Linked DNA regions of Elephas maximus indicus. The protein of the gene in region 1 purifies or fractionates together with the protein of each later gene. This does not show direct contact. Links are inferred from orthologs where the notes say so. Each region holds a gene or a part of one and is shown on either strand. Other genes may lie near its edges.

Region 1 (7,332 bases):
CAAGGAGCACCTGGTAGATTTAAACTGCTAATCTTCCAGTTAGTAGCTCTAGCTTTTAATCACTATGCCACCAGGGTTTCCGCCAGAGCCTCAGATGGAGGAATATTAGAACTTTTGACAAAAATTGAACAATAAGCAAAAGTTCCCCCAAAAGGAAAAGACAAAACAACACAAATGCAAAGCTCATTTTTTCAAAGTGTCCACTAAAATTCTAAATTGTTTTTAGTATATTTATAGTGTTTTTAAATATGACCCCTAAACCAGTGTCTCAGTAGTGGGGGAAATTCAGGCTCATTTATCAAAAATGTCAAGCTCTAACGTTCAAGCTTTTGGTTCTTTTTTTTTTTTTGACTCAATTCATTTTGTTGACTAGAGACCTAGTCTCTTATTTTAGACCTTAAATTACCTAAAAGGTTTTGGAAATTAGTTTCTTTAATTGGCAAGTATTTTAAAGTAGCTACTGATGACTTTAACATTGTGATTTTTTATTGAGAAACTATATCATAAAACAGGTCTGAACTACTACTTCTCTCTGAGAATTTGGCAAAACAGAACTGTTACCCAGGTTTTCTCTAGTACTCTAGCCTATCTCACACCACGTTATCCTGTCACAGGAGTCTTTAACGCTTGTGATGAGTGCTGGTGACCACCCTAATGGCTTTTGCTGGTTGACCTGTGCCCAAAATTTGCAGCTTATAGTGAGTGACCCAGAGCTCTTTGGAAATAGAATTGTCTCTTTAATGTTTCATATGCCTGAATCCAGACACAAAACTGCAGTTCACCAAATGAGTTACTGAACATCATTCTTAACCAAATGATCAAGCAAAAAACCTAAGAAAGATTCTCCTTAATCAAACAACTGGCTCTCAAAACAAATGTGCCAAACAAAGCTTAAAAAAACATGAAAAAGAGAACAAAAAGAATAAGTGAAGACTCTTTTTCGAGGGCACTCCCCCTGTCAGTGTCAAAGGGACATAGAGTGCGAACACGTGGGTCCAAGAGATAGGACCTCTTTTTCTTTTTTGCTGGCTTCTGCTCCACAGTCCAGGTCTCCTTGAGGTTGACTGGATTCATGGTTTTAGAATCCCTGCAACAACTACACCATTAACTCTTGTAGGGTGAGGACACCACAAAGTTTAGTAAAGCAAAAAGAAAGGTTTTATTCAGAGTATATTTAAAGAGGCAAAAGTAGGAAAGGGACAAGCAAAGGGAAATGCTGCCAGGGCCATGTCTGTCCAAGTCTCTGTTCCCAGTTCTTAAGGATGCATCTTAGCAGGCCACATTCTGGGATCTTTGAACATTCCCCATTCTTTGGATATACACACTTAAGACTCACACAACCTAATCCAGTGCACCAACTTAACAGGTACCTGAGCCTTTTATGCCCTCGGCGGTCAATTCCTCAAACTTCTTGGGACTCTTCTAAGGCCTTACTAGGAATTACCTGGTTATTTACTAAATAAGTTCAGATTCCTAATGCCTTCAATGGTCAATTTCCCCCGCTTCTTGGGACTCTTCTAAGGCCTTACCTTGAACCAAAAACCAAACTCGCTGCTGTCCAGTCAATTCCGACTCATCTTGCCTAAAAAAAAAAGCCTAGGTACTTATAAAACAACTCAGGTGCATTTCATGTCTTCCACAGAGCCATCTTTTGGGTCCCAGGTGGACTGGCCTTCAGAGCTGCCCCAAAGTCTACAGAAGAAATCTCCTGGTGGTGCCAGACACTGGGGTGGTATGTTGTCTGATTCACCTCAAGAACGGAACAGATGGCTCCTGGCTGGCTCATCAGAAATGTTACTGGGTGGAAAACCCAGGTTCTTGCTCGGCATGACTCGTATCGGCCAATAAACAAGAGACTGCTGTGGGAGTACAGAAAAGGCACCTTTATTGTATAAAGAAAAGTCAGAGCTGCTGCTGCCAAGACTGCTCGCCAAGGGAGGCCAGGCAAGTTACTTTTAAGGGGTTTGCAAGTAGGGAGTTCACATAAGTTATGTCAGCAACGTTCTTAATCATACTATGCAGACACAATGGGGTTTACATATAGTCTCCAAGCAAAAGCAGGATTCCAATGCAAAGCTGAGGGAGAGGAAGCCCAGCAAAAGAAACAGGATTTTTAATGCAACACTGTGGGGAAGGAAGCCAAGCAAAGAAGGCAGGATTTTTAACACAGCACTGTGGGGGCTCTGTCTCATAAGGGCATGGGTGAGAAGAGGCTGCCCTGATTGAAGAACTGTACCCTGAATTGTAACCTATTACTTCCCTGATAGAGCCCATATTTGTGAGCATTGTCTGTGAGTTTTTGCAATGAATTATTGAGCTCAGCAGGGAAGTAGAGTGTCATAGAAGGGACGGTTGGTGTTAGAATTGGTAAAAAGATTGGAGAGAGGAGGCATGTCTGACCTCCACCTCAGAGCAAACAGTCTTGGGCTGTTGATGTTGATTATGATTCTTCTTCCCCCTTGTGAAGTTAGAGGAGGTCAGATGCCCCCGCCACACCATTTTTACAAAACCACTTAAAACAAAGCCTGGCACACTGTAAGTTAATATTACTATTATGTCTTTAAGCTTAAATCTATAAGCTATATATTGGATTTTTTTGCTATTATCTGTTCACAGGTTGTGTAGGATAAAAAAAAAAGTGTAGGATAGAGGAGTAAAATTGAATGGCTAAGGAAAGAATGAAGATATGAAACTAAACTTCCAGGTGGAGGACCTACATGTTCATATTCTACACTTATAAGAAAAAGAGTACTTCTTAATGAGTAAACATCAAAGGAATAGATAGAACTCTTGAAGAGACTGATTACATATTGATGAATATGAATTCAGAGAAATAAAAGATAATGTACACAGATCTATAGATACAAGTGAGACAGAACCCTCACAGTGTTGCATTAAAAACCCTGTTTCCTTTGCTGGCTCCTCCCCCACAGGCTTTGCATTTGAATTCTGCTTTTGCTTGGAGCTTATCTGTAAACCCTATTGTGCCGGGGTAGTATGATTAAGAATGTTGCTGACATAACTTACATGAACTCCCTACTTGTAAACTCCTTAAAAATAACTTGCCTGCTCACCCTCGGGCAGTAGGCTTGGCAGCAAGGGCTCTGACTGACTACTTTTATTTGTACAACAAAATAAAGGTGTCTTTCCTGTTCTCCCACCAAGGCCAATACGAGTTATCCTGAACAAGAACCTGGGGTTTCCACTAGGTAACACAAAAAAACAAAAAAAACACAAGGACACTGAAAATTTCCAAGCCTGAAAAAAATAATGAAACCTCAAAATGCAATACTACTGCCATGGAATGTTGAAATATGTACTGTTACTATACAAAGCATTCCCTTCCACACTCCGCATTTTCTACAAATTAAAACAATTTAGTCAGTTATGAAAAAAAGTAAAGCACATGCTAAAATAAAATGCATAATACTGCCAAGTTTTTTTATGTTTAAAATTACACACACGCTACAAAAAAAAAAAAACACCCAATTTTTAAATTATAGCTCTGCATGGTAATTAAAGAGCCCTGGTTATACAGTTGTTAAGTCCTCAGCTTCTAACAGAGGCCAGCAGTTCGAACCCACCACCTGATCCTCTGGAGAAAATCCTGGCAGTCACCGTCCAGAGGTTTACAGCCTTGGAAACCCCATGTGGTAGTCTTACTCTGTCCTACAGGGTCCCTATGACTCAGAATTGACTTGAGGGCCGTGGGTTTGGTTTTGGTATGCTGATTAATCTCTTTCTCCAGCTTCCTGTGTTCTTTTCTGTTGGGAAAAACGAGTCCAAACAGAAAGTAAGATCCATTTTTTTTTCCCCTAATTAAACTGCTCAACTATTCTGAGGGTGAATTCGAACATCTTAAGGACTCTTTTTTTTTCTCGAAAGAGACCAAACAGAAGAGCACTTTTATCAAGAGCTCTTCACACCGAAAGCCAGCCAGCTAGCTAGCTGCGCAAGGACTTCTTCCGGATGGCCCAGTCGGGTTCCTGAGCAGCACCACCTGCTGGTCCTATATACGTCCCACCTGGTCCACCCAAAATCTCCCTCTCCCTTTCAGAGCCTCCTGGACCTAAGCATAAGTAAAACAATATATAAAGATATTTATAAAACAATATATAAACCGAAATTGCAGGTAGTCTGAGGAAGGAGAAGGACGGCACCCAACAAACGCTTCGGCTACGGTAGGAAACCAGCGAAGCGGGGACGGCCCGGCAGGGACTCCTGCGCAAGCTCCCGGCTGTGCAGCGCTCCTTCCGCCCCGCGCAGACCCGCCCCGCCCCGCCAGCGCGGGGCCCCGCCCCTAGGACGCGCCGGGAGGTCACGTGACATCCGCGCGCGTCCCCGGCCGCTGCGGGCTCGGAGGCCGAAGAGGAAAGACTGCGAAGTGTCCGCTGCGGTGGCCAAGAGGTGGGGGTCGGGGCCAAGCCTTCCTGGGGGGCAGGAGGGAGGCTAGCCCTGCCAGAGAATCCTGTCTCGGGGAGAGGAGGGCTACCCGCGGTGTCACCGCCGGTCGCGACTCGCTACGTGTCTGTCCTGCGCTCGGGGCCTGAGAGGGGCGGCGGCGGGGTCAGGACCGGTACGTAGATCGACGCCCTTGGGCCGGCGTGGCCCCGGCTGTCCGCGCGGAGGCGGGATGGGAGAGTTCAACCCTTCCCGCCGCCTCCGCCGTGACTGTTGTCGCAGCAGGAAGACTCACGGCCTCAGTGGTGCTCGCGGCCGCTGCAGCCCCTGCCCCGAGCGACGGCTCGGAGCTGTTCTAGGTCGGGGTGCGAGAAGCAGAGCAGCGGCCATTACTGCGCAGCCTCTTCCGCCGGTCCGCATCGCGGCCTTTGGTGGTGGCCGGGTACCTTCTCATCCCTCTCGGCGGTAGTGTCAGGCCTCTGTCTGGAAGATCTTGTCCTTAGAGCTTAGGTGAGGCGGTGGTTTGGGGGTTACCTGCTCCCTGTTTCTCGTGAGGAGTCAAACACCTTGGGCCTTGTGTCATATCGAGGCCTGGGTGTACAGTCCCCGCATTTGAATGTATTTTGTCTTTTTCGAGTGCCTTTGCTGTCTTTTTCTCTTCCCTCTCTTCCTCCTCCTGCCCACTGTCCCGGTCTTGCCTGAACCCGGATGGATATGAAGACAGCCGTTCGTCCACCCGAGCCACCGCTGCATATTCTTAGATCTTTGTTTTGACTGTTATTAAACATCGGAAAAATTGAGAGATCTCTCAGGGTACCGTTTGAGCCTACAAACATAAGTGCATCCTAAAAGCGCAGAGTGTTGCTTTGTTCTTCTGGTTGCTGGGTGTGGAGTTCTATCCCTACCCCCCACCCCGTCTGAAAGAGTACAGGTCTTCCTCCATTGTTGTCGCTATTTTATTTTCTGAAGGCTTCTCCAGGAAGGTTGCGAAATGTTTGGACAGTGTAGAGATGGAACAGTTCTTTCCACAGGTAAAATCTACAGGATTGTAAGTTTATGCACACATTCTGGCAACTGGATTTTTTTCCCCTTCAGTTATCAATGAGAGGTTTTATTTTTTTTCACTAAGTGTCATTTTAGTGAGCACTTGCTGCTCAGGTTTTGAAAATACGCACATTTTGTTAGGTAACATTTTTCTAATATTAGTATGGAACTGAGGAGAAGATAACTAATAGATGATAGAAAACACTTTGTATGATTGACATTTTAGGTGTTGAAATGGGGTGTAAAGTGTAACACTGGGCATTGAAAGTAGTATATAATTACAGAAATTAGAGACTTAAGACTGTTTTTAGTAAGTGAATCTGTATTTAGACTTTTAAAAGACATGGCATGTAGAAGACATAAAGAAAATAACCCACACAAATAACACAGGATTTATAAAGTTAGGTTTGTTGTTTTTATGACCAGCAAATATTGTTTGTAGTGAGTGGCTGGGTGTTCTAAAAACACATGAAAATAGGTCAAGTAAATGACATTTTAAAGAGAAAACCGGAAGAGTGAATACCACTCTAAAAATAGATTTTGGTGTGTTTGTTTTGTCATTGTATATTGTATTGTGGAGCACTTTTTTAAGCCCTTTTGATTTAGAATTGATGTTTCAAATGGACCAGTGTAAGTTGTGGGCAAAATGGAAATAATGATACTTAAACATTTTGAAAGTTTTTGTTGTTCGATGGGTGGTAAGAACTTAGTAGAATTATAATCATCAGGTAAGCTGTTTCTCTCAATAGCTAGTCGTTAGACAAAAGGAAGGGAAAAAAAAAGTGATTTTTCTTTCTGCAGACATTTATCGACTAGTGAAGTGTTTTGTTTCAGTTTCCACAGCTTGAATCGTTGGAAGAAAGGGGCAGACTTTTTGAAAGGACCCAAAAATGATTTCTTGACTTTGAAGAAAAAGATAAAATTAAATTTTTTCTTTGTTTCATATCATTCATCTGTTTAAAGAATAAATGTGTTAGCCATATACTCACATGAAACGCCTGACATATTGTCAGGAATTTGAAAGCTTTTTTCGACAATATTAGCAATAGATTGCTGAGCCTTTTCCACTTTTGCTAGTTTCTGTTTGTGACTAAAGAACCTGAATTGGTGAATCAGGCTAAGTTAGGAACAATTTTTGTGAGTATAGAAGCCATCTTACTAACACTGGGCTATATCTGTACTTATTTATGGATTGTGTTTAGTGTTTGTGGCATATTACCTTTTTGGTTAATTATAGCAAAACCTGTTGTTAAATGCCTGTTAATTAGAACATTTTGAGTTACAGAATTATAGAGTAGGGTGAAACAACTAAGACATGGAGGATTATGACTTGACCAAGGTCACACAGATAATTAGTGGCAAAGCCTTTTTATTTACAAAATGGTTGCAGGCTGTGGCACTTCTGTGCTTGGTATGATTAAAAGACAATATTTGTTGACATTCAGATGTCATGTTTTATTAAGATAAAATTCAAGGCCCACGTTTTATTTGGGGAAAATTTTAACTTTTAATGCTTGAATATGAAGATTGTGAAGGTAGTAGATTTCCATATAGTAATTTTTCTTAAGAGAAATAATATATATATGTGGGAAATAATTCTTTAAAATAAGAGTAGTGTGAAGTGTTAGACTCCTTTTAGCTAAAATGAGTTTTGACTGAATACTTGTTGCCAAGTATGGCCACCGTATTGTGTAAGCTAATTTTTAATAGGAGATAATAGTAAAAGCGAAAAGTGGAAACATTAGGGCATTTAGTTACATCTGTCAATTTGGAACTCTTAAGATGTAAGAAGTACAGCCAGAATGTTCCTTAGAAGCAAGAATGCGAGACTTGGTCTCATGTATTTACCAGAAGGGACTAGTCCCTGGAGAAAGGACATCATGCTTG
Region 2 (7,108 bases), on another chromosome or scaffold:
TTGGGGCCCATGGTGGTGGACACAAAGCCGGAGTAGCAGTCTTTGAACTTCATGCAGGCCTTGTAGGTGTTCACCGACTGACGTCCCTCTGTGGGGTGGAGGATGGAATAAGGGGCTGGGCAAGGCATTTGGCCACACCCAGCCTCGAGGGCTCTTCTAACCCTACCCGCCCCCACCAGCAACTGCCTGGGACAATCTCTTCCAGCCCCAAATCTATACCCCCTTATCTGCCTGGGGTGGTCTCTTGCAGCCCTCTAAAGCCATACGCCTGGTCCGCCTGGGTATACTTTGGAGTGGCATGTTAGGAAGCCCTCCCTACTCATTGCCTAGGCCGCATTAGGTCTTTGGGGGTCTACTGCAGCTCTCCATTGCCAACTCCCCAGGTGCCTGCTTGACATGGTCTCTTTCAAACCACTCCACTGCCATCCTTCTCTCCTGTCCAGCCTGTAGTGGGCTTTTTCAGGCCGTTTAATGGTTACCCCCCATGTCTTCTTGAGGTGGTCTCTTCCAGCCTCAGAACTTTCGCCCTCTGCGCCTGGGGGGGTCACTTCCAACAAACCCTGGGATACTGCACACTCCCGCCCCAACACCTGTGCCCCTACTCTGTCTAGGGCGGTCTCTTCCACACTCCCCCATGGTCCATCCCCAGGCCTCCCTTTGATGGTCTCTTGCTGCCCTCCTTCCAGCTCAATCCAGTGGTTTCCCTTCTTTCTCTCACTCCCAAGGGTGACTTTTCTCCAGCTCCCTTCAACACCCCTTCAGGGTCTATATCTTCCCCTATCTGCTGTGGTTGCTCTCCTCAAGCCTTTCAAGTCCTTTCTGCCACCAGCCAACGTTTGCTGCGTGGGTGGGACTGCATGCAATCTTCTAGCCCAACTTTCTTATACAACTTTTCCTGTCAGGGTGGTTTCTTCCTACACGCAGGGTTACCCCTCATCTCCTGTCACAGCCTCTCCTCCTGCATCTTGCCCCATCTCTCCTCCTGTGAGGAATGGTCTCTTTCAGCTTTGAAAGAAAATCCCCCCCCCCCCCAGTGGTCTATTCCATTGGTGTTCTTTCAGCCTTTCTCAGGTCTGGAATGGTCTCTTCCATTTAAGTCATGCTCCCCCTCTTCCTTCCATTTCATTCTTCGTCCCCAGTCCCCCCCCTTAGGATGATTTTCTCCATAATTCGTAGTTATCGTCCCCCCCCGTCTGGAATGGTCTCTCCCTCTCTCCCTCTACCCCAACATCATCTCTCCTCCTCCTGTCAGAAATGGTCTCCCCGACATCCCTGAGGTGGTCTCTTCAAGACATCTTTTGGTCGATTCCTCCCTCTTGTCCAAAATGGTCTCTTCCCTGATCACGTTCCTCGGACCTTCTCCCAGTCTCTTCCTTCTTCTCTATCACCCTCCCGTTCTCCTTGCCTATTAGATTCTTCCACTGTATTTCTCTGTTCCTCCTTGTCCTTTCCTCACCCCCTCCCGCCTAAGAAAGTCTCTTTAAGCCCTCCCCCATAGCCATCTTCTTTTGGAGTTGCTCGTTTTTTAAAAATCTAAAAATGGCTTGTGTCTCCATTCAGTTGTCCTCCCTCCACCTTGTGATGGTTGTTTCCTCTTGCCTACCCCATCCAAATTTCTTCTCACGCCTCACCCTGCTTGCGAACTGGGATGACCCCTCCCGCACCGCCCCCCCCCACGCCCCGCTTCCGCCTGGTGGTATCTTTTTCCCACCCTGAAGGTTCTCCCCCAGCCCCCTAGCTATGGTCAGAAGCCCTGCAAAAGCCCTGCGTTCGTACTTGTGCTCGACTCCCCCACGACGACTACGCACGCGTCCTTGCCATCCTCGCATGTCTTCATTTTTCCGTTGCACGTGGGCCCAGGGCCCTTGCACACCTCACAGCTTAGTGGGCATCCTATAGGGTAGAGATCGGGGCTGTAGTCATGGGCGGTGCGATTAGTGGGCCACGACTCCCACTTCGGAGTCCCGAGGGAGATGGGGGCAGGGTTTGAGGGAGGAAGGGACTGGATTTCTGGTCCTGAGGAAGGTCCAAGGCCCAGACTGATGGGTCTTGAGAGAGGCTGGTGTCTCTCTGGTTTTTCATGGGTGGGACATTGCTGCGTGTCCGGGGACCTGTCCAGAACTCTGACAGGAACGCGGTGATGATGTCACCAAAGCTGCTCCCAGGGCAGGAAGCGACTCCACCGTGAAGCCTGTTACCTAATTACAAGGCTGGGGGCTTTGGAGGACAGGATCCGCAGAGAAAGCTCAGAGCTGGGAGGGTTCGTACTGAAGGCTTTCATGAAGTTTCAGGTTCAGCTGGTTCAAGGGTTTGGAGCCCTCCCACTTGCAGATACAACTTAGGTCTTGCAAACAGTAGGAGCTCAGGCAGCGGTACCTGAAGCTGGAGTTTGCCTCCAGTCCAAGGAGGGAGAGTGAGGACCAGGAGGGCTGGGGGCATGGACCCCTTAGTGTTGACAGAGGAGGGGCTGGGGGCCCAGACACCTGGGTCATGGAGAAAGTGGGGCTGGTGTCCAGACTCCTGAGTCTGAGGAAGGAGGGGCCTGGGATGCTGGGTCTGAGGGAGAAGAGGGCTGGGGGGCTGGACCCTTGGGTCTGAGGGAAAAGGGGGCCTGAAGTTATTAAGAGTCCAGGGAAAAAGGAGCTCTCTCTCATTCATATTCTCTCTCTTAATTAAAAAAACAAAAACAAAACAAAAAAACCCTTTCTAGTCATGCTCTCATCTGATTTTCTAGAATTTGGATGTGTTGCTTTGGGACCCTACCTAAGGGAAAGAGGATTCAGAGCCCATCAAGCCCCCTTCTCTCTCAGGGGTCCAGTCATATGAGCATTTCTTCCCTTGGGGCCCCAGACTCTCTGTTAGTGTCTGCCTCCTCCATGAGTCTGTATCCCTGGGTACCCCACTTTACCCCCTGAGGACATTTGCTGAATGTTCTTTTATAGTCCCTGCTTTCCTGAGGGTCCCAGGAGTCCAGGGCCCCAGTCACTCACCGAGACCCAGAAGGGTGCAGAGCAGCGTGAAGGTCAGCAGGAAGGCCCTGGGTCCAGCAGAGGTCCTCATGGTGTGTGAACCTGTAGTCCCGTGTCCCCAGCCCTTATAGGAAGCTGAGGAGGGGCGGGTCCAGACCCACCTTCACCTGCGGTGAGAAGGAGCTGAGGTCAGATTGAGCCCAGGGCAGGTCTCTGCAGCCCCCGGGTAGGGGAGGTGCAACTAGCATCCAAAAGGTATCCAGGCATCTGGTGCCCAGCCCCCTCCTCCACTGGAATCCCGGGAGTCTGGGGTTCCAGCACCCTCTTCCATCAGGACCCAAGAGATCACTTTCCCATTTTTCACACCCACATCTTCTTTACTCAAAGCCCAAGGTCTGAGTGGGGTCACTGTATTCCCTGTGGGTGCGAAGCAGCTACAAGGACTGGGATCCCCTCTCACCTTCCCAAGGAGGCACCTAGCATGGGTGGGGCCCCACCTGGGAGTGCCCAGCATGTCCATGCTTGTTCTGCAGGACCCAGGCGACTTGTCCTCCTTCCCTTTTCCTTCTAGCACTTGGCTCATGCTCCCTTCTTTATGTCCGGGCTTTCTCTGGCGCCGACCCCGTCCAGGGCTGCACGCCTGGGTCTGTTGCGGACCGAACAGAGGGGTGCCTGTCCGCGGCTAGCGTGGGCGTGGCAGGAGACAGATGCTCACAGGTCACATTGGGGAACTGAGGCGTGGGTGGGAGTACTCTAAGCTGTGTGTGCGTGTGTGTGTGCGTGTAGCCAAGGGAGCCGATTAGGCTCCCCGCGAAAATCCAACTCAGGTTGGCTGTCTTGTGTTTAGGCTTCAGTTTGGGCGGTGATCGCATTGTCCAATGAGAATGGCGAATTTCTCCTGGGGACCAATCCCGGAGGCCGCTCCAGTTGCTAGGCGCCCAGGAAGCAGGATGTAAACGTCACCGGGAGGAGAGGTTAGAGCAGTGGGGTCAGAGAGAGGCGGGGCTAGAGAAAAGCTTGTTGCTGGGTCCTCGCCACTCCGCGCCTTAAAGGCGCAACTGAGCATGCGCAATGTCGACGCGGGCGCCGGCGCGCCGCAGTTTGAAAGGCCCGAGCCTTGCGCGCTTGCGTACTGAAGCCCGTGCAGAGGAGCGCCCCCACCCTCCCCGCCCCCAAACCCAGGCCCACTTGCCTCCTTCGGGCCAGGCGAAGGCCACGACTTTGACATGCCGGAGATCCGCCTCCGTCATGTCGTGTCCTGCAGCAGCCAGGACTCGGTGAGGGGCCGGCGTGGGGGAGGTTGGAAGACGTAAGGAGATTAATGAGGGGTGCTCTACAAGAACCTTTGGGGGTGTAACAAGGAACTTCAGGAAGGTCTAAGCAGAAAAAAAGCCAAGGGTAAATTTCCAGGAGGGTCTAAGTGAACTCTGGGAGAGATGTGGGATAGAGGAACTTCCGGGCGTCTGTGGAGTTTCCGGAGAGAAAAGGAGCAATAGGGGAACTTTCTCGGGAGAGCCTGGAGGTGAACTTCTAGAGGAGAAGGTTGTAGAGGAAACTCAAGGCAGGGTGTGGGGGGATTAACAGAGGAACTTACATCTGGGGGATCGCAGAGAGCTTGGAAGGATTCGGAGAAATAATCTGAGAGCTGAGCCTAGCTCTCATCTCAGTGCCATAACCCTCTCCCATTCTTGTCCCTAGACCCACTGTGCAGAAAACCTTCTCAAGGCGGACACTTACCGGAAATGGCGGGCAGCCAAGGCAGGCGAGAAGACCATCTCTGTGGTCCTCCAGGTGACCCTGCCCTCTCCCCACCTTCGTCTCACCAGAAGTCTGGAGACCCAGGGTCCAGGCTCAGCTCTTGAGTCAGCTGGCAGTGCACTGAGTCACTTTCCCTTCTGGGCCTCAGCTTCCTTACCCCGAAAATGGGTTGTGTGATCCCTGTGCCCCACAGCATAGAAGAAAAGAGACCCAAGAACTAGGCCAGAGATGACCATGGCATCAGGATGTGGCCCTGGTAGGTTGCTTCCACATTCCGGGCCTTATTTTCCTCAATGGGAACAGAGTGAATTATTGCCATGTATCCTGACTACTAAGGTCAGTGGACTCAGCGCAGGAAGGTGTCCAGGAAGATCATTTATGCCAGTCAAGTCCGTTTTTAACAATGAGGAAACTGAGGTGTAGGAAGGGGAAGTGAAGTGACCAGTCTCAGCTACCATTTCTGGAGTGCTGGCTGGCGTTTTTCTGAGTACTTTTTGTACATGTTCTCACTGAATTCACTCCACAGTCCTGTGAGGTTATTAATGTTGTTAATGTTTTGCTATCACATTGATTCTGTCTCACGGCCACCGCATGTGTGCAAAGTATAATTGCTTCATAGGGTTTTCAAGGCTGTGACATTTCAGAAGCAGATGGCCAAGCCTGTCTCCTGAGGCAACTTTGGGTAGATTCGAACTGCCAACCTTTTAATTAGTAGTTGGGCACTTAACCATTTGTACCACTAAAACTTCCTGTGAGGTTGGAGGGAGGCAAATAGGAGAGAGCAGCTTGACCTGAGATAGTTACAGAATTCCACACAGGATGTTCTTGTCAGGAATACGAAAACGATGGGAGAAGAATGCCAAATGTGTATTAAGCATCGACTGTTTCACCTGCGTGATCTTGGTTTTCTGAGGCTGAGATTGTACTTACTGCTTTCTGTTTAGACACTTTCTTGATTTTGGCCACATTCCTTAGTTCTGAATGTGGGGGTGTTTGGGAAGGAATGTTGGGAAGGCTTGCATGATTGTATTTGACACTGAACAATCTTGGTCTCTGTATTGACCAGGGATTCTAAAAAAAACTTTGGGATCATAGAGCCTTTTGAGAATTCGATAGAAGCTGAGAATTCTCTTCCCAGGAAAAATACACAGACCCACAAAATTTCCTGAAACCCTAACATAATAATAATGAGCACTAACATTTATTTATGTTACAACCTGCCAATCACCGTTCTAAACACCTCATATGGATTGACTTGTTGAGTTCTTATAAAAAGCCCCGTGACCTAGGGTCTATTATTATCTCCATCTTGCAGATGAGGAAACTAAGGCCCAGAGAAGTTATGCAGCTGGCTCAAGAGTCAGTGTTTTAAATTGAGGGAGGTACAGCTTGCTCAGGATTTATTATCGGGACCTGAATTCATGCTCTCCCTCTTACTCACTCTCTGACCTCAGGCAAATGTTTCGTTTCTCTGAACCTGTTTTCTTATCTGTCCATTAGGAATAATAAGATCTAAGCCCAGGGTTGTTGTGAAAATTCAGTGACATAATGTCTGCAAGAGTGATCTGTCAACATGCAGGTGTTTGTGTAAGGGGTGGGATTTATGTTATTATTACTGGGTGATGATTCTCCTGGGCTTCCTTATGATCAGGTGACCCCAAGGGAAATCATGTTTGAGTTTGCATGTTGCAGTGGAAACACGGAGACTGGAGGCAGAAAAGACTGGACGTAGAGGGTGAGGAAGCAGGAGGAGCCAGATGAGGTACCAGGTTCTTTGGCTGGGAGACTGAGGGCAAGAGTGCAGCTGAAATGGGTTACCCAGAGAGAGAGCAGCTTGGGAAGGTGATGTGTTTGTTGGGACATCCAGGTTTGATATGACTTTGGGGCATTCATGGGGCAGCATCCAAGAGACAGTTAGGGATTGGATATGGAGCCAGAGCCAGAGGTGTGGGACTTGTCAGCACAGGGACAGGACCAGAAGGCCTGGGAGTAGATGGATTCGTTCATTCATATGTTCATGCATTTATTCAATAGGTATTTATTAAACACCTTCTGTAGAGTCAGAATCAACTTGACGGCAAGTGGTCATAGGCCACATGGAGACCCTGGGTGGTGTAAGAGGTTTATGTGCTCGGCTGGTAACCAAAAGGTTGGAGGTTTGAGTCTACCCAGAGGTGCCTCAAAAGAAAAGCCTGGCGATCTTCTTCCAAAAAATCAGCCATTGAAAACCCTATGAAGCACAGTTCCACTCTGACCATCAGTTGGAATCAACTCAATGGCAGCTGGTACTGACACCATAGACCACGCACTGTTTTGGGTGTTGGGCTTTAGAACAGCGGACAGCACAAGCCGAAAGGTATCTCAGGCCTTGTGGGGCTTTC
Region 3 (6,827 bases), on another chromosome or scaffold:
TGCTCTAGCCACATGGCTGTCCTTGCTATTCTCCCACATTCCGGCTTCTGGGCCCTTATTGATGTGCCCTCCACACTAGATCTTCACGGGGCTCTCTACTTCATTCCCTCAAGTCTTTACTCAGTTGTCACTTTGTCAGTGAGACCTTCCTGACCACTGCACTTAAAACTGCAACCTCCCACCCTCCCGGCACCTCTGCTCCTCCTCTATAGCACCCGTCATCATCTTACACAATTTTCTTTTTCCCAAATAAAAGGTCTTACATATTTACTACTGAACCAACCTGTTAGTGCAAAACCATAAAAACGAAGAAAGAAACCAGGACTTTCCCAATGTAACATGTTCAGTTGTTCAGTTACTGGCAAAATCTTCAGCTTGATATGGTAAGATGCCAGTGAACTTGATAGAGTGTAAATATGTGTACCATCACATATGAGACTCCTTATAGACCCAGCTTGGTTCTTCATTGTCTCCTCTTGCAGTTATATATGATTTTATTACCCGTTTTCATTTGAATCCATTGGGGAATGGGACAATTCTCCCTGTTTCTTGGCCAGGGATCTCTTAGTCCTGAAAGTCTTGTGAGAAGACATGGCAAGATGGAAGTCTGCAATTTACTTTGTTGTTTATTATCTATCTCCCACACAAGCCTGTCAGCTCACAAGGCCAGGGATTTTTGTGTTTTGTTTCACTACTCTATTCCAGCTCCTGGAACAGTGCCTGGCACACAGTAGGCACTCAATAAATAACTTGACTAATGACTAACTGAGTGATTAAGCTCTATGGTGGTATGAACGTATCCAGGCTGGGAAGTGGTGGGAAATGTACATTTACTAAAACACTTCTAAGGGCCACGCAGTTTGCAAGTTAGTATTAGCCATCTCGCTTAGTTGCCACAAGCAATCCTAAAAGTTAATTGTATCACCATTTCACCATGAAAACTGAGATCCTGAGGAGTAAGGAAAATAGACTAAAGTTACTCAGTGGTGGAACACAATTCAAACCTAAGTCTGTGATTTCAAAGCCCTGTTTTTCCCACCATACATTACCTCATTCTCCTTGGTAGCAGTTCCCACGTCAAACAATTGGCCTCAACGAAGAAGGCTTAATACATCCAAAACAAAGCTCATCCTCCTACCTCAAATACTCCCTCCTCCCCTCTCATTTTCTGTTTCAGTTGATGATCTATTATGTACTTGCTCGCTTGAGTCATACTCATTTCATCTTTAGATAAACGAGCATTTACCTAGAAGGCAATTTGGAATCTAAATGTTTCTCAAAAACACATCCTCTCCATCCCGAGTTTCTTCAGGCCACATTCATCTTTTACATGGGTCACTATAAATACATTTTAATTGGTCCTCTTGCTTCAGCCTCCCCAGATTGAGCTTCAACCGTAACTCCTGTTTCCATAAAGCCCTTCATGGCTCCATCATCTACGGAATAAAGGTCAAGTTCTTTATCAAACAACACGTAATTCCCGCCAGGACGTGACCCTTGCTTACTTCTCTAACAATGCTCTATTGTTGCTGTTCCTAAACCCTGAACAAGTTCACTTACCTTCTCTGAGCTACCCTTTTGTAAAAATAGACATCCTAATCCCTCATAAAGTGCTGAAAAGTGATGATGTTACCTTGAAAATTAAGGTGCACCTGACCCAAGCCATGGTGTTTTAAATCACCTAATATGCATGGGAAAGCTGGACCATGAATAAGACCAAACAAGAAATGAGGTGTTGGCGAAGAATACTGAATATACCATGGACTGCCAAAAGAACAAACAAATCTGTCTTGGAAGAAGTACAACCAGAATGCTCCTTAGAAGCAAAGATGGTGAGACTAATCTCACAAACTTTGGACATGTTATCAGGAGGGATCAGTCCCTGGAGAAGGACATCATGCTTGGTAAAGTGGAGGGTCAGTGAAAAAGAGGGAGAACCTCAACGAGATGGACTGACACAGTGACTGCAACAATGGGCTCAAGCATAACCATTGTGAGGATGGCACTGGATTGGGCAGTGTTTCGTTCTATTGTACATAGGATCGCTATCAGTCACTAGATGGCATCCAAGAACAATCTCTCATAGGGTGCCCTGGTGGCTCAGTGGTTAAGCACTGGGCTGCTAACTAAACCGTTCGTGGTTCAAACCCATCCAGCTATTCAGCGGGAGAAAGATGTGGCAGTCTGCTTCATCTAACGATTACAGCCTTGGAAACCCTAAGGGACAGTTCTACTCTGTCCTACAGGGTTGCTGAGTCAGGACTGGATGGCAAGGGGGTAAACTCTCATAAAGCTGAGCTGAGGTTCAAAAGAGATAATGCACTTAAAACTATATATAATATAAAGGACTTTTTCCACATCTCCTTTACACAGTTTCATAACTCCATATACATTACCCGTTAAAAAACCAAACCCGTTGCCATGCAGTGGCTCCCAACTCACACCGACCCTATATAGACAGGGTAGAACTGGCCCATAGAATTTCCCAGGAGCGCCTGGTGGATTACGAACAGCCGTCCTTCCGGTTAGCAGCTGTAGCACTTAACCACTATGCCGCCAAAAACCCTATATATACATTAAAAAAAAAAAAAAAAACCGTTGCTGTCGAGTCTACCGTAGATCTGCCCCATAGGGTTTCTTTCCAAGGAGTGCCTGGTGCATTCGAACTGCCAACCTTTTGGTTAGAAGCATTAGCTCTTAACCATTATGCCACCAGCGTTCCCATATATACATTATGTTTCTTTAATTCAACATTTATTGAATACTTACTACATGCTAGGCATTGTGCGGCACCCAAGGCAGGGGGAATACAGATAAACAGGTTTAATGACAGGATCTTAGCCTTCCCCAAGCTGATTATAATGTAGTTACACAACCAGTATCTTTTAATTGAACTGGATAATCTCCAGCAACGAGAAAATCAGGAGGATCTGTGGAAGTTCGGGTCAGGATGCGCTCCGGGGCGCAACCACATCCCTTCATCTTCGCTCCCTCAGGCCGCAATCACAGACCGGGAACCCCCAAACCCAGACACTAGAGACTCGGGCCCCACGTGACAGAATCTGACCACCACCCACGTGGCAGGCCGGGGGCGGAGACCAGGAGCATAAGTCGGACCTTTGCTTTTGCGCCTGCGTGCTGCCTCCAGCTCAAGGACCCGGATTTAAAGAGACAGGAGCTACAACCGTCGTGGGCTGGCCACGGCCTGTGGGCCCCCGGTCCTTAGGCCTACGGTGTGCGCCGGAGCCGGGAAGGCAGGTGAGGGGCGTCCCAGCGGACCGGGCACTGGGGAGGGGAGAGGGCCAGGTCCCGCACCGCGGCGCGGCCCCGATTCGGCCCCCTCGGCTCCTCCCCCGCCCGCCTGCTGAGCACCGGAGCACACCCTCCGTGACGTGGCCGCCCCCCGGGAGCCGGCGGGGGAGGTTCGCGGCTCTCCAGGACCCCCCACGGGACCCGCGCGAGGGGAGGTACCCGCTTCGTGCCCCCGGGCTTGTGTCTTCTAGGGGCTTTCGTGGGGGGCTTTTCCGACCCCAGGCCTCTCTGCTTGCGTCCCGCGATGAAGTTGGTGCGCCTGGGGAGACTTTGGAAGCCTTTCTCCCTTCCCTCCGCCTGTCTTGGCCCCTTCCCCAGCCCCACGGGCGTGTGCTCCCCGGTCCCTGCCGGCCTGAACCGGAGGGAGTCGGGGTACTGGGGACACGGCGCCCGGGACCCGCCTCCCCGCAGCCAGACCCCCGAGCCCGGGACAGTAGACCCAGCCTGCTCTCCGAGCGTGTCGCGGGCAGGCCCCTGAGGAAAAGCGGCTGCAAGGGTTTCACTCCCAGCTCGGTGCCGCTCCCTTGCCCAGCCGGTGCGGCGTTCAGGCCTTAGCGGTTTCCTCCTCGGGTTCCTTTGAGGAAATGCTGAGCTGCGGCCGTTGGGAGCTGTGGGACCGGCAGACGGGTTCCCTCAAAGCAGCATTGTGCCTTCTCGGGGCCCAGCGCCTGTGAGTCGCTTGTGATGCGGGGGCAGGACGCTGACGCCGGCCCCCTGCACTATTCCCACTGGGGAGGGGCGGTGACTCCGTAGATCGCTCTGCAAAGGGAGATAGCAAATCTACCAGGTGCTGAGCTCCTACTAGGGGCTCGCCACTTTCACACGCCTGGTTCTTCGTTTAGGGAGTTAGAGAGCCCTTTGTGGATCTCGTGAAAGTTACCGACCTTCTCTCCAAAAAAAGTACATTTGCAAATGTACACATTTTGTATACATTTTCAGGAAGTTCAGAAGCCTCCATCAGCCCATCCATGGACTCGTTTTAATTTTCACAACCACCCTGTGAAATAGATATTATCGTCCCTTTCAGAGAAGTTAAGGGATTTCTCAAAGGTAACTTAGTAAGCTGTATGATCAGACTCGGAGTTCCTAGTTGGTGCAAAGGTTTAATATGTATAATGCATGCGCTAGTCTGCTAACTGAAAGGTTGGAGGTTCCAGTCCATCCAGAGGCATCTGTAAGAACGGCTTGGCCATCTGCTTCCCAAAAATCAGCCATTGAAAACCCCACGCAACACAGTTCTGTGACACACGTGGGGTCACCATGATTAGAAGTCAACTCCATGGCACCTGGTAAACTAGACTCCCTAATGCCGAAGCTCGTGTGCTTTCCCCTGCACCATGTTGCCCTACAGTAAAGAGAAGCCTACTTTTTATTGTAATGCAATAGCAGTTTCACTCTGAAGGAGTGTGCAAACTGAAACTAATTTCCAGTATTTTTAAAAGTAGAACTATAAAGATTCTTTAGGAAATCTGAACCATATGTGAAGGTTGGGGATACCATCAGGTATAATCCCTGTTTCCATATGGATTGATAGATCAGCTCCTTTGACTCCTCCTGTCCCATTACTTCAGCATACCTGGATTCAAGTTGCTGAATTATGAACAGGTGTATAATTGCTTAGAGGACAGCGTCTTCCTTATAAGGGGACCTAGCATTTATTGCGCCCCTGCTGCGTGCCCAACTCTGTTCTAAGGACTTAACCCTTGAGATAACCCCTTGAGTTAGGTACTGTTACTAGCCATAGTTTATAAATATGGAAACTAAGAAACCAGAGAGGTTAAGTTAACTTACCAAGATACATAGCTGGTTGAGTTAGAATTTGAACTCAGGCAGTCCAATTCCAGGCTCTGCTAGTTGCCTCTCAAAATAGGGCTTCTGATTAAATCACAAATCTATATAGAGTAGCTTAGTTGTTTTCACAGGATGGCATGTGTGTCACACTTCACATTAAAAACTTCATGAACATTTTTCTTGATGGTGAAAAAGAAACTTCAGGCCCCTGTAACTTTAAGTCTGGAGTACCACGTATTGCTGATGGCCTGGGAAAATGAATAAGCACGTATTTGAGTTGTCTTAATTGTGATTTACCAGATACGCATGTGTGCATTAGATAACTGAACACCTTTTGCAGACTGGATTTCGGTATTAGAACTCTTTTCATCTTATGGAGAGTCAATCTGCAGTACTTGGAGAAGCATTGAATTAGTCAGCATGAAATGTGTATGACTCTAGCCTTTGTGGAAACTGGAAGCCCAGCTTCTCATTTTTATATCTTTCTCTGCCTCTCGTCTTTTCATGCAGCTATATGACTTTGGCTTTCAAGACCCTCTTCCCACAAACTCTCCGTGTACTCAGCCGAAAAGAACCGTGCCTATTCCGAGTGCGACATCACCGGCCTGACGTGAGACAGTTCAGCCAGCGTTCAGAAACAGATCTGATTCCTGGGAGCTGCCTCCTCCTGAGAAAAGAGCCTGTTCTATCATTCCAGCGAGGCAGTCTAAGACCACGTGCCACCTGCCTTGTTTTCTCGCCAGGATCGCATGTGGGACTCTGTAGTGGCTCCAGTGAGATGGCTGAGCAGCGGTTCTGCGTGGACTATGCCAAACGTGGCACAGCTGGCTGCAAAAAATGCAAGGAAAAGATTGTGAAGGGCGTTTGCCGAATTGGCAAAGTGGTGCCCAATCCCTTTTCAGAGTCCGGGGGTGATATGAAAGAGTGGTACCACGTTAAATGCATGTTTGAGAAACTGGAACGGGCCCGGGCCACCACAAAAAAAATCGAGGACCTCACAGAGCTGGAAGGCTGGGAAGAGCTAGAAGATAATGAGAAGGAACAGATAACCCAGCACATTGCAGGTGGGGTGGAGAAAACTGCTTTTTCATCTTACTGGTGCCAAGAGAAAATAGGATAAGGAGAATAGAGTCCAGTTTTTGTTTTTGTTTTTTTTTTTTTGCTTTTTTCAAAACAGTTTATTTGGAGATAATTTCAAACAGAAAAGTCAAAAGAATAAAAATAGTGCAAAAAATCATAGTTCCTTTATCAGATTCACATATTGTTAAGTTTACCCTATTTGCTTTATCATTTGCACTTATGTGCATTGTCTTTCTATCTCCACACACACACACACATTTTTTTCCTGAACCATTTGAGAGTAACTTGCATACGCTGTGGCCCTTTACCTTTAAATGCTTCAATGTGTGTATCATAAGAATAGGAATACAGGCAGTCCTGGGGTTATGAAGGAGGTCCGTTCCTAAATCTAAGTCGACTTAGTAGGTAATACAAAGTTACACACTTAGCACAGTGTTGAGGCAACATGATCCAATTTAAAATGACAGATTGCATTCTCTTTCCTTGAGCTTATGAACTGCTGAAGCCACACAGTGTTTTCATGAGTGTCACAAAGTAGTGCATGCGTTCATTATTACCGACCATTGTATTTAACTCGAGTTTTTAATATACTAGGCTTTACGGCAGTCTGTTGTTAAGTACGCGTTATCCGTAAATCAGACGTT
Region 4 (7,057 bases), on another chromosome or scaffold:
CACAACCTGTACAAGGCAAGGTCATAGTAGCTAACTAGACACATCCAAACTCCCTGAGGGACCAAACTGCAGGGTTGAGGGCTGTGGGGACCATGGTCTCAGGGAACGTCTAGCTCAACTGGCATAACAGAGTTTATAAAGAAAATGTTCTACATTCTACTTTGGTGAGTAGCATCTGGGGTCTTAAAAGCCTGTGAGCGGCCATCTAGGATACTCTACTGGTCTCACCCCTTCAGGAGCAAGGAAGAATGAAGAAAACTAAAGATATAAGGGAAAGATTAGTCAGAAGGTCTAATGGACCACATCTACCACAGCCTCCACCAGACTGTACAACTAGATGGTGCTCGGCTACCACCACTGACTGCTCTGACAATGATCACAATAGAGGGTCCTGGACAGAGCTGGAGAAAAATGTAGAACAAAATTCTAACTCAAAAAGAAAAACCAGACTTGCTGGCCTGGCAGAGACTGGAGAAACCCTGAGAGTATGGCCCCTGGACACCCCTTCAGCTCAGTAATGAGGACACTCCTGAGGTTCACCCTTCAGCCAAGGATTGAGCAGGCCCATGGAAAACAAAACAAGACTAAAGGGGCACACCAGCCCTGGGACAGGGACTGGAAGGCAGGAGGGAACAGGAAAGCTGGTAATAGGGAACCCAGGATTGAGAAGGGTGAGTGTTGATATGTCGTGGGGTTGTTAACCAATGTCATACAACAATGTGTGTACTATTTGATGAGAAACTAGTTTGTTCTGTAAACCGTCATCTAAAGTTCAATTTAAAAAAATTGTTTATACTTTTCATTTAAGAAATAGTGACCCAGTTAAATTGTATCAAGTATGAGAGATTTGTGTTAGACTAGAAACCAATGTAAAGAAGTTTCACAGTTAACTGCCACCTTTGTAAATCTCACCTCCTCTCCTGCCATTACTTTGATGTGAAGTTGTTATCTGTACTCACTCTACTTGTTAAATATTTCTTTGTTTTGTCTGTAAGGCAGAGCATACCCTTACAGCCACGCTGAATGAATGCTCTCCCGCAGTTCACTCCTTCCATAAATTTTATTGGTTTAAATATCAAATTGGAGTGTTGGTCCAGTGACTTCATGAAGACAACAGTAATTGGATTGTGAAGATTAAACATCTTTTCTTTATGTGTATGATATTCCCTTAACTGTTCTAAAGAGAACATATACTACTTTTGCAGTCAGAAAGAAAAAAAAAATCAGTAAGTTATTTAACAAACAAGGAGTAAATTCTCGGAATATTTATTTGGCAAATAGAAATAGGAATTTTAAGTCATAATTTTTAACGGTTATTCTTTTGACTACACCTGTTTTCCATTTTTCTTTTTCTCCAGTTTATCCTTTTCCACATATGCCTATTTACTTCATTCACCCATTCTATCCTATTCACTCAGACTTGCTGCCTCGTCTATCTTCTCATTATCACTTCCATGTGTACATTTTTTCTGGTTATAATCCACAGTTTATTATCAATGTGTACACATTTCCTAGCTCTCAGTAACACATGCTCTCAAAGAATCATATCCCAAAGCACTTGCAAGGGAATAAGCAAACACAAAAGTATAAACTTAAGGCAAGATACGTCAAACATATAAACATCTGTCCATAAATGCTCACAGATGGATACACACTCCTTACGGGACAGAGATACACATTCTTACAGACTCAGAGACACAAGAAGGGAGAGATCTTTTCTTGTCTGGACCCTATCCACTCTTCTTTATCCATCCCTCTTCTAAGGTGGGTATAGAGCTGCATCTTTTGTTTCATTTCAAGAATAACAAAAACTTCACGCTTTTGTGATATTTAGCACAAGGTATGAAATTCAATAAATACGTGTTTATACTTTTGAAAGCACTCTCATTCAGCACTCTAAGAGACCAGGGCCCATATTTGTTTTGCTCATCTTTGTACCCAAAATATGTACGCTCATCTCTGTACCTTATTAGTATGTGGCTCTCTGCCACACTCCATAATGAATAAACGACCCCCACCACGTATTGATTATTGTCGACCCACGATTCTGTCATACAGATAAGGCACGTGCTGTTTTTCTTATTTTATAAATAAAGAAAAGGTTCGGAGAGGTTAAGTGACGAATCAAGTGCAGTTCTGGGAATAGAGTCTGAGTCTCTCCATGCAGGAAATACGACCAGACACTAATCAGCAGACCTCGGGGGGTAATGCAAGTTTCGCGGATCGAGGACTCTGGGGAAAGACTAGTATCAATAAAATAGACTGTTATGTGCGGTGATGAGCAGCCAAACATCCCTTAGCTGCACATTTCAAAATATGGCACTAAAAAAAAAATATGGCACTAGGGGAGAATTAATCAAAGAACTGCGCATGCACAGTAAACGAAGAACGCGAACTGCCACTGGAAGACGAGTTCTGATAGTTAGAGAAGCAGCCAAGGAAAAGGCCCACGCAAAAGAGACTTTCACACCCTTGGGGAGCCAGAGCGTCCTCTTCTTTTCAAGAGGCCTGCACTTTGCGCTGGCTTTACGCAGTTACCCTCCCACCGGCCTGTCTCCCTGGTACAGGCCTCGCTCCTTCGCCCGGTCCTCATTCATTCCAGCCCTTGGGCCCTACACGCAAAACGGGAGCGGGAAATGGCCACCCGTCACAGGCACAGTTTCCACTCCGCGCACCCCATCCCTAGGGCTGAAAGGGAAGACGCTGGGTCCAGCAGGTAAATAAGCCCAACGGACGCGGTGAACTCCAGGCGCCACAGGACTGGCACGGCGAGTCCCTAGGAGTTGGCCCATCTGGGCGGAAGTTCGCCGGGCCCACTGACCTGTCAGACCCCACAGCCTTAGGTCGTGCTCGTCCACCCGCGCCCGGGTACCCTCGGCTCTGTACTTAGTCTGAAGAGCCACCAGGAAGTCCGGCATGTTGCACTGGCGGGTCGCGGCGCCCGCGCGCTCCATCCGGCCTGGAGAGGCCCCGCCCGCGCGGCCCTGCGCGCTTTTGCTTCCTTACGCGCTCAGGCCCCAGGCCACTTGCCGGCGCTGAGCGGATGGAGCGCAGCCGCCGCCAGAGGGCGCGTCCTACGCGGCTTTTCGGACCAGAGTTGGGCATGCGGCGCTCTGGTTACCCTACCGATTCATTCAGGAATTCTTGTAGCGCTGGCAGGGGGGTCACTAAAATTGGGATCGATTTCCCTCCGCATATGAACCTCCGCCAGTACTATGCTGTACAGAATCCTTAATAATGTTTTTTGTCTTAATGTTACCCATAAATCGTAATTCCCGGGACATGCAAATGCCTCCCCCAGTCTGCAAGCCAACAGGACCTCAGGCAGAAGCGGGGCTGCTGGGTGATCACTTCCTTCCCTCGGATTACGGAGTCCCGGCTCTGGTAAGAAGCGCAGCGACCCCAGCCCCGCGGTCACGGGGACCAGAAGGCCAGAGGCGCTGGCGGACTGGCCCCGGCCTCCAGAACCCGGGCGGCTGACTGGAGTTCGCGTTCCCGGACCGAGGAGTGGGAATGGATGGCAGACACGCAATCCCGCTGAGCGCTCACTAGCGGCTGGGCGCCTCCTCTAGGGCCACTTTAGGCATGCTGCAACGTAGGGATACCTCTACCCAGACCCACTGGCCTTCTAGGTTCCGTTTTGGCGCACAGGCTTGCTTGCTCTTTGGCGGGGCAGAGAAATCGGGCAGCCACTGGGGCTGCGCGGCTAGCTCCGGGTGGCAACGGAAAGGGTTAGAGAGAAGGCCTCAGGGCGGCCAGGAAGGGCCCTGGGACACAGCGCGTCCCTCCAGGAGCAGAGGTCACTTGGCCCGTCCCGCTCCACCTGGTACGGGCTGCAGTGCCCAGGAGTTGCATGTGAAAGGCCGCCCAATTCCCGGGCCCAGCGCGGGCCCTGGCACAGTCACGCTAGCGGGGGAGAAGAGTCTTAAAAGTTCAGTCTTTCGCAGGTCGTTGGGTGGAGGGAGATCAGCCGCCAAGCCAGCGCTCCAAGGCCTGGCGGGGGCTCCGCGGGTGCGCTGTTGGACGGGGAGGGGACGGCGAAAAGGGCCCAGGCTGGCTTGCGGAACTCGGCTCCTGCTTGCAGACTGGCACCTGCATGTGTCCGCATTTTCGGTCTACACCTGTGACAGGACACGGAGCCCCAGCGCCGCCCGCACGCTGCCTCGCACGCTGCCTCGCACGCTGCCTCGCACGCTGCCTCGCACACTGCCACCCCCTCTGACGGTGTCACCAGATGCAGTCCGCACTGCCCCCCTCCACCACCCCCCCCCCCCCAGTGATGCCACAAAGTGCTGGTCCTCCTTAGAGCCGCTGGGTTCTCACTCGTGTGCTTTTTCAAGACATGGTTGCCTGAAATGCTTATCAGGGGGTCGGGTCGTTCACTTATTTAATCAGCATTGACTGTCAGGTACCAGGTACTCTGCTGGGTTCTGGGGTTATACAATTCAATAACGCATCACCCCTGCCCTCCAGCGACTCACAGCAAGATTGTAAAGGACGGCATGTTGAGTTCTCTTTACACTAGTAATAACTTGGTTTATGTCCTGAAATATCCTTACTTATTACCTGTTAGCTCTATGGCCAAAGTTAGGAAACCCTAAAACAGTAGTAAATTAAAATCACAAATGCTGTCATTGTTTCCTGCAATGAATTTCAGCATGCACTTTTAGGACATGCTGAATTTGCACCTGGAACAATGCCTCACACATAGTATGCCCTCAAAAAGCATTGTTAAATGTTTGAATGGAGTGCCTATGGGGCAATTCTAAAAATCCAAAACCTATGACTGTCGTAACTCTCAGGTACAGAGATGACATTTCACAGATGAGCAAACGAATGCACAGAAAATTTAGGCAGCTTGTCTAATGTTTTCTAGTGAGTCAATGTTAACCGTCAGAATAAAGTTGTCCTAGTCATCTAGTGCTGTTGTGACAGGAATACCACATATGGATGGCTTTAACAAAGAAAAGTTTATTTTCTCACAGTAAAGTAGGCTAAAAGTCCAAAATCAGTGCGTCAGCTCCAGGGGAAGGCTTTCTCTCTCTGTTGGCTCTGGAGGAAGGTCCTTGTCTTCAATTTTCCCCTGGACAAGGAACTTCTCAGGCACAAGGACCCCGGGTCCAAAGGACATGCTCTGCTCCTGGTGCTGCTTTCTTGGGGGTATAAGGTCTCCAACTCTCTGCTTCCTTCCCTTTCCTTTTATCGCTTGATAAAAGGTGGTGTAGGCCACACCCCAGGGAAACTGTCTTTACATTGGATCAGGGAGGTGACCTGAGTAAGGGTGGTGTTACAATCCCACCCTGATCCTTTTAACATAAAATTACAAGCACAAAATGGAGGACAACTACTCAATACTGGGAATCATGGCCTAACCAAATTGATACACACATTTTGGGGAGGACATAATTCAATCCATGACAAAAGTCTAGCACCCACTCTTTTTTTCATTCATTTTTTACTTAGGTTATGAAGTCATGGCATTCATATTGATTCTACATTTTATTCCTTTTTAGAGAGAGTTATGTCCTCGGGCAACAGCAGCCAAACAAGATTAAAGGTAACCAAGATTAAAGGTCATTGGTGGACCTTAGCATTTGCCAACCCTACAAAAACAATCATGATCCAGCAAAAATTAGTGAACAGGTTGTGTTTGCTATCCATTATGTCCTTACCCTGTTGGGTAACAACAAGATACCAACTGGCAGCAGCTAATGAGTCAGATGTGGAACTTAGGTAAAAACTGTGACCACAGGTGAAATTTTATACAGACCTCTTCTTAAGTATGTGGACTTAGACCTCGGGACCCAGGTGCCTTAGAGTGAAAAAAACACTGGACAGGGATGAAGGAGACTTGGATTTCTCAACTCCCAAGAAAGGAAAACCTGTATTTTTACTTTTGCTGTAATTATACATCTTTGGCATCAAATAACACATCATAAATTTAAAACTTAGAAAATATACTAAAAAGAGGGCACATTTAAGTAAAGCAACAAAGTAAGTCTGCTTTATGGGACTGTGGGCCAGTCAGTTTAGAAAATTGGCACTCTCCTTTAACACCAAAGGCAAGAGCACAACACTAGAATATTATTAAGGAAATCTTTGTGGACATAGTCTAGAGGTTGTAAACTGGCAGCCATGCATGAAAGTTTGCCCCCAGGTCTTTTGTTTGGCCAGTCAGAGTTTGTTTTCCTCTTTTAATAAAATGTCTTTTGACTGTCTGCCTCACCATCAAATTGTTGTTGTTAGTTGCCATCAAGTCAGCTATTTCTCTTGGGGACCTTATATATAAGAGGGTGAAACATTGCCAGTCCAGTGCATCAGATTGTTGTTGGTGTTGTTGGGCGCCCTCAAGTTGATTCTGGCTCATAAAAATCCTACGTACAATAGAACAAAACACTCCCAGTCTTACACCATCCTCACAATCACTGCTATGTTTCAGCCTATTGTTGTAGTCACTGTGTCAATCCATCTCCTTGAAGGTCTTCCTCTTTTTCACTAACCCTCTATATTACCAAGCATGATGTTCTTCTCCAAGGACTGGTCCCTCCTGATAACATGTCCAAAGTATGTGAGATGAAGTTTCATTATCCTCAGTTCTAAAGAGCATTCTGTCTGCACTGCTTCCAAGACAGGTTTCTTGTTCTTCTGGCAGTCTTTGGTATATTCAGTATTCTTCACCAACACTATAATTCCGAGGCATCAATTCTTCAGTTGTCCTTATTCATTGTCCAGCTTTTGCATGCATATAATGTGATTGAAAATACCATGGCTTGGGTTAGGTGCACCTTAGTTCTCAAAGTAACATCTTTTCTTTTTAACACTTTAAAGAGGTCTTTTGCAGCAGATTTGCCTGATGCAATACGTCATTTGATTTCTTGAATGCTGCTTCCATGAGCATTGATTGTGGACTCAAGTAAAATGAAATCCTTGACAACTTCGATCTTTTCTCCATTTATCATGATGTTGCTTATTGGTCCAGTTATGAGGATTTTTGTTTTCTTTATGTTGAGATATAATCCATACTGAAGGCTGTGGTCTTTGATCTTCATGAGTAAGT

What was found.
Region 2: the proteins of RNF146 (region 1) and XRCC1 purify together in Homo sapiens (co-immunoprecipitation; 3 studies listed by BioGRID and IntAct, with this or other methods). This does not show direct contact. The link is inferred for Elephas maximus indicus from reciprocal best matches to the Homo sapiens genes RNF146 and XRCC1.
Region 3: the proteins of RNF146 (region 1) and LIG3 purify together in Homo sapiens (co-immunoprecipitation; 3 studies listed by BioGRID and IntAct, counting the BioPlex papers as one, with this or other methods). This does not show direct contact. The link is inferred for Elephas maximus indicus from reciprocal best matches to the Homo sapiens genes RNF146 and LIG3.
Region 4: the proteins of RNF146 (region 1) and CHD1L purify together in Homo sapiens (co-immunoprecipitation; 3 studies listed by BioGRID and IntAct, counting the BioPlex papers as one, with this or other methods). This does not show direct contact. The link is inferred for Elephas maximus indicus from reciprocal best matches to the Homo sapiens genes RNF146 and CHD1L.

The regions. Positions count from the first base shown.
Region 1 is NC_064819.1:195,289,540-195,296,871, forward strand, and holds the start of RNF146 (E3 ubiquitin-protein ligase RNF146), read left to right. Parts: upstream 1-4,315; 5' UTR 4,316-4,407; intron 4,408-4,414; exon of another isoform or gene 4,415-4,576; intron 4,577-7,332. UniProt on the Homo sapiens protein: E3 ubiquitin-protein ligase that specifically binds poly-ADP-ribosylated (PARsylated) proteins and mediates their ubiquitination and subsequent degradation. May regulate many important biological processes, such as cell survival and DNA damage response.
Region 2 is NC_064829.1:106,924,145-106,931,252, forward strand, and holds the start of XRCC1 (DNA repair protein XRCC1), read left to right. Parts: upstream 1-4,108; 5' UTR 4,109-4,195; coding exon 4,196-4,246; intron 4,247-4,667; coding exon 4,668-4,760; intron 4,761-4,777; exon of another isoform or gene 4,778-4,983; intron 4,984-7,108. Other genes in the region: PINLYP (phospholipase A2 inhibitor and Ly6/PLAUR domain-containing protein), read right to left, coding at 1-88, 1,777-1,893, 2,991-3,060. UniProt on the Homo sapiens protein: Scaffold protein involved in DNA single-strand break repair by mediating the assembly of DNA break repair protein complexes. Negatively regulates ADP-ribosyltransferase activity of PARP1 during base-excision repair in order to prevent excessive PARP1 activity.
Region 3 is NC_064837.1:29,849,117-29,855,943, forward strand, and holds the start of LIG3 (DNA ligase 3), read left to right. Parts: upstream 1-3,820; 5' UTR 3,821-3,896; coding exon 3,897-3,982; intron 3,983-5,613; coding exon 5,614-6,167; intron 6,168-6,827. UniProt on the Homo sapiens protein: Isoform 3 functions as a heterodimer with DNA-repair protein XRCC1 in the nucleus and can correct defective DNA strand-break repair and sister chromatid exchange following treatment with ionizing radiation and alkylating agents.
Region 4 is NC_064821.1:158,965,106-158,972,162, forward strand, and holds the start of CHD1L (chromodomain-helicase-DNA-binding protein 1-like), read right to left. Parts: upstream 3,017-7,057; 5' UTR 2,955-3,016; coding exon 2,822-2,954; intron 2,717-2,821; coding exon of another isoform or gene 2,637-2,716; exon of another isoform or gene 2,573-2,636; intron 1-2,572. Other genes in the region: FMO5 (flavin-containing monooxygenase 5), read left to right, coding at 2,637-2,716. UniProt on the Homo sapiens protein: ATP-dependent chromatin remodeler that mediates chromatin-remodeling following DNA damage.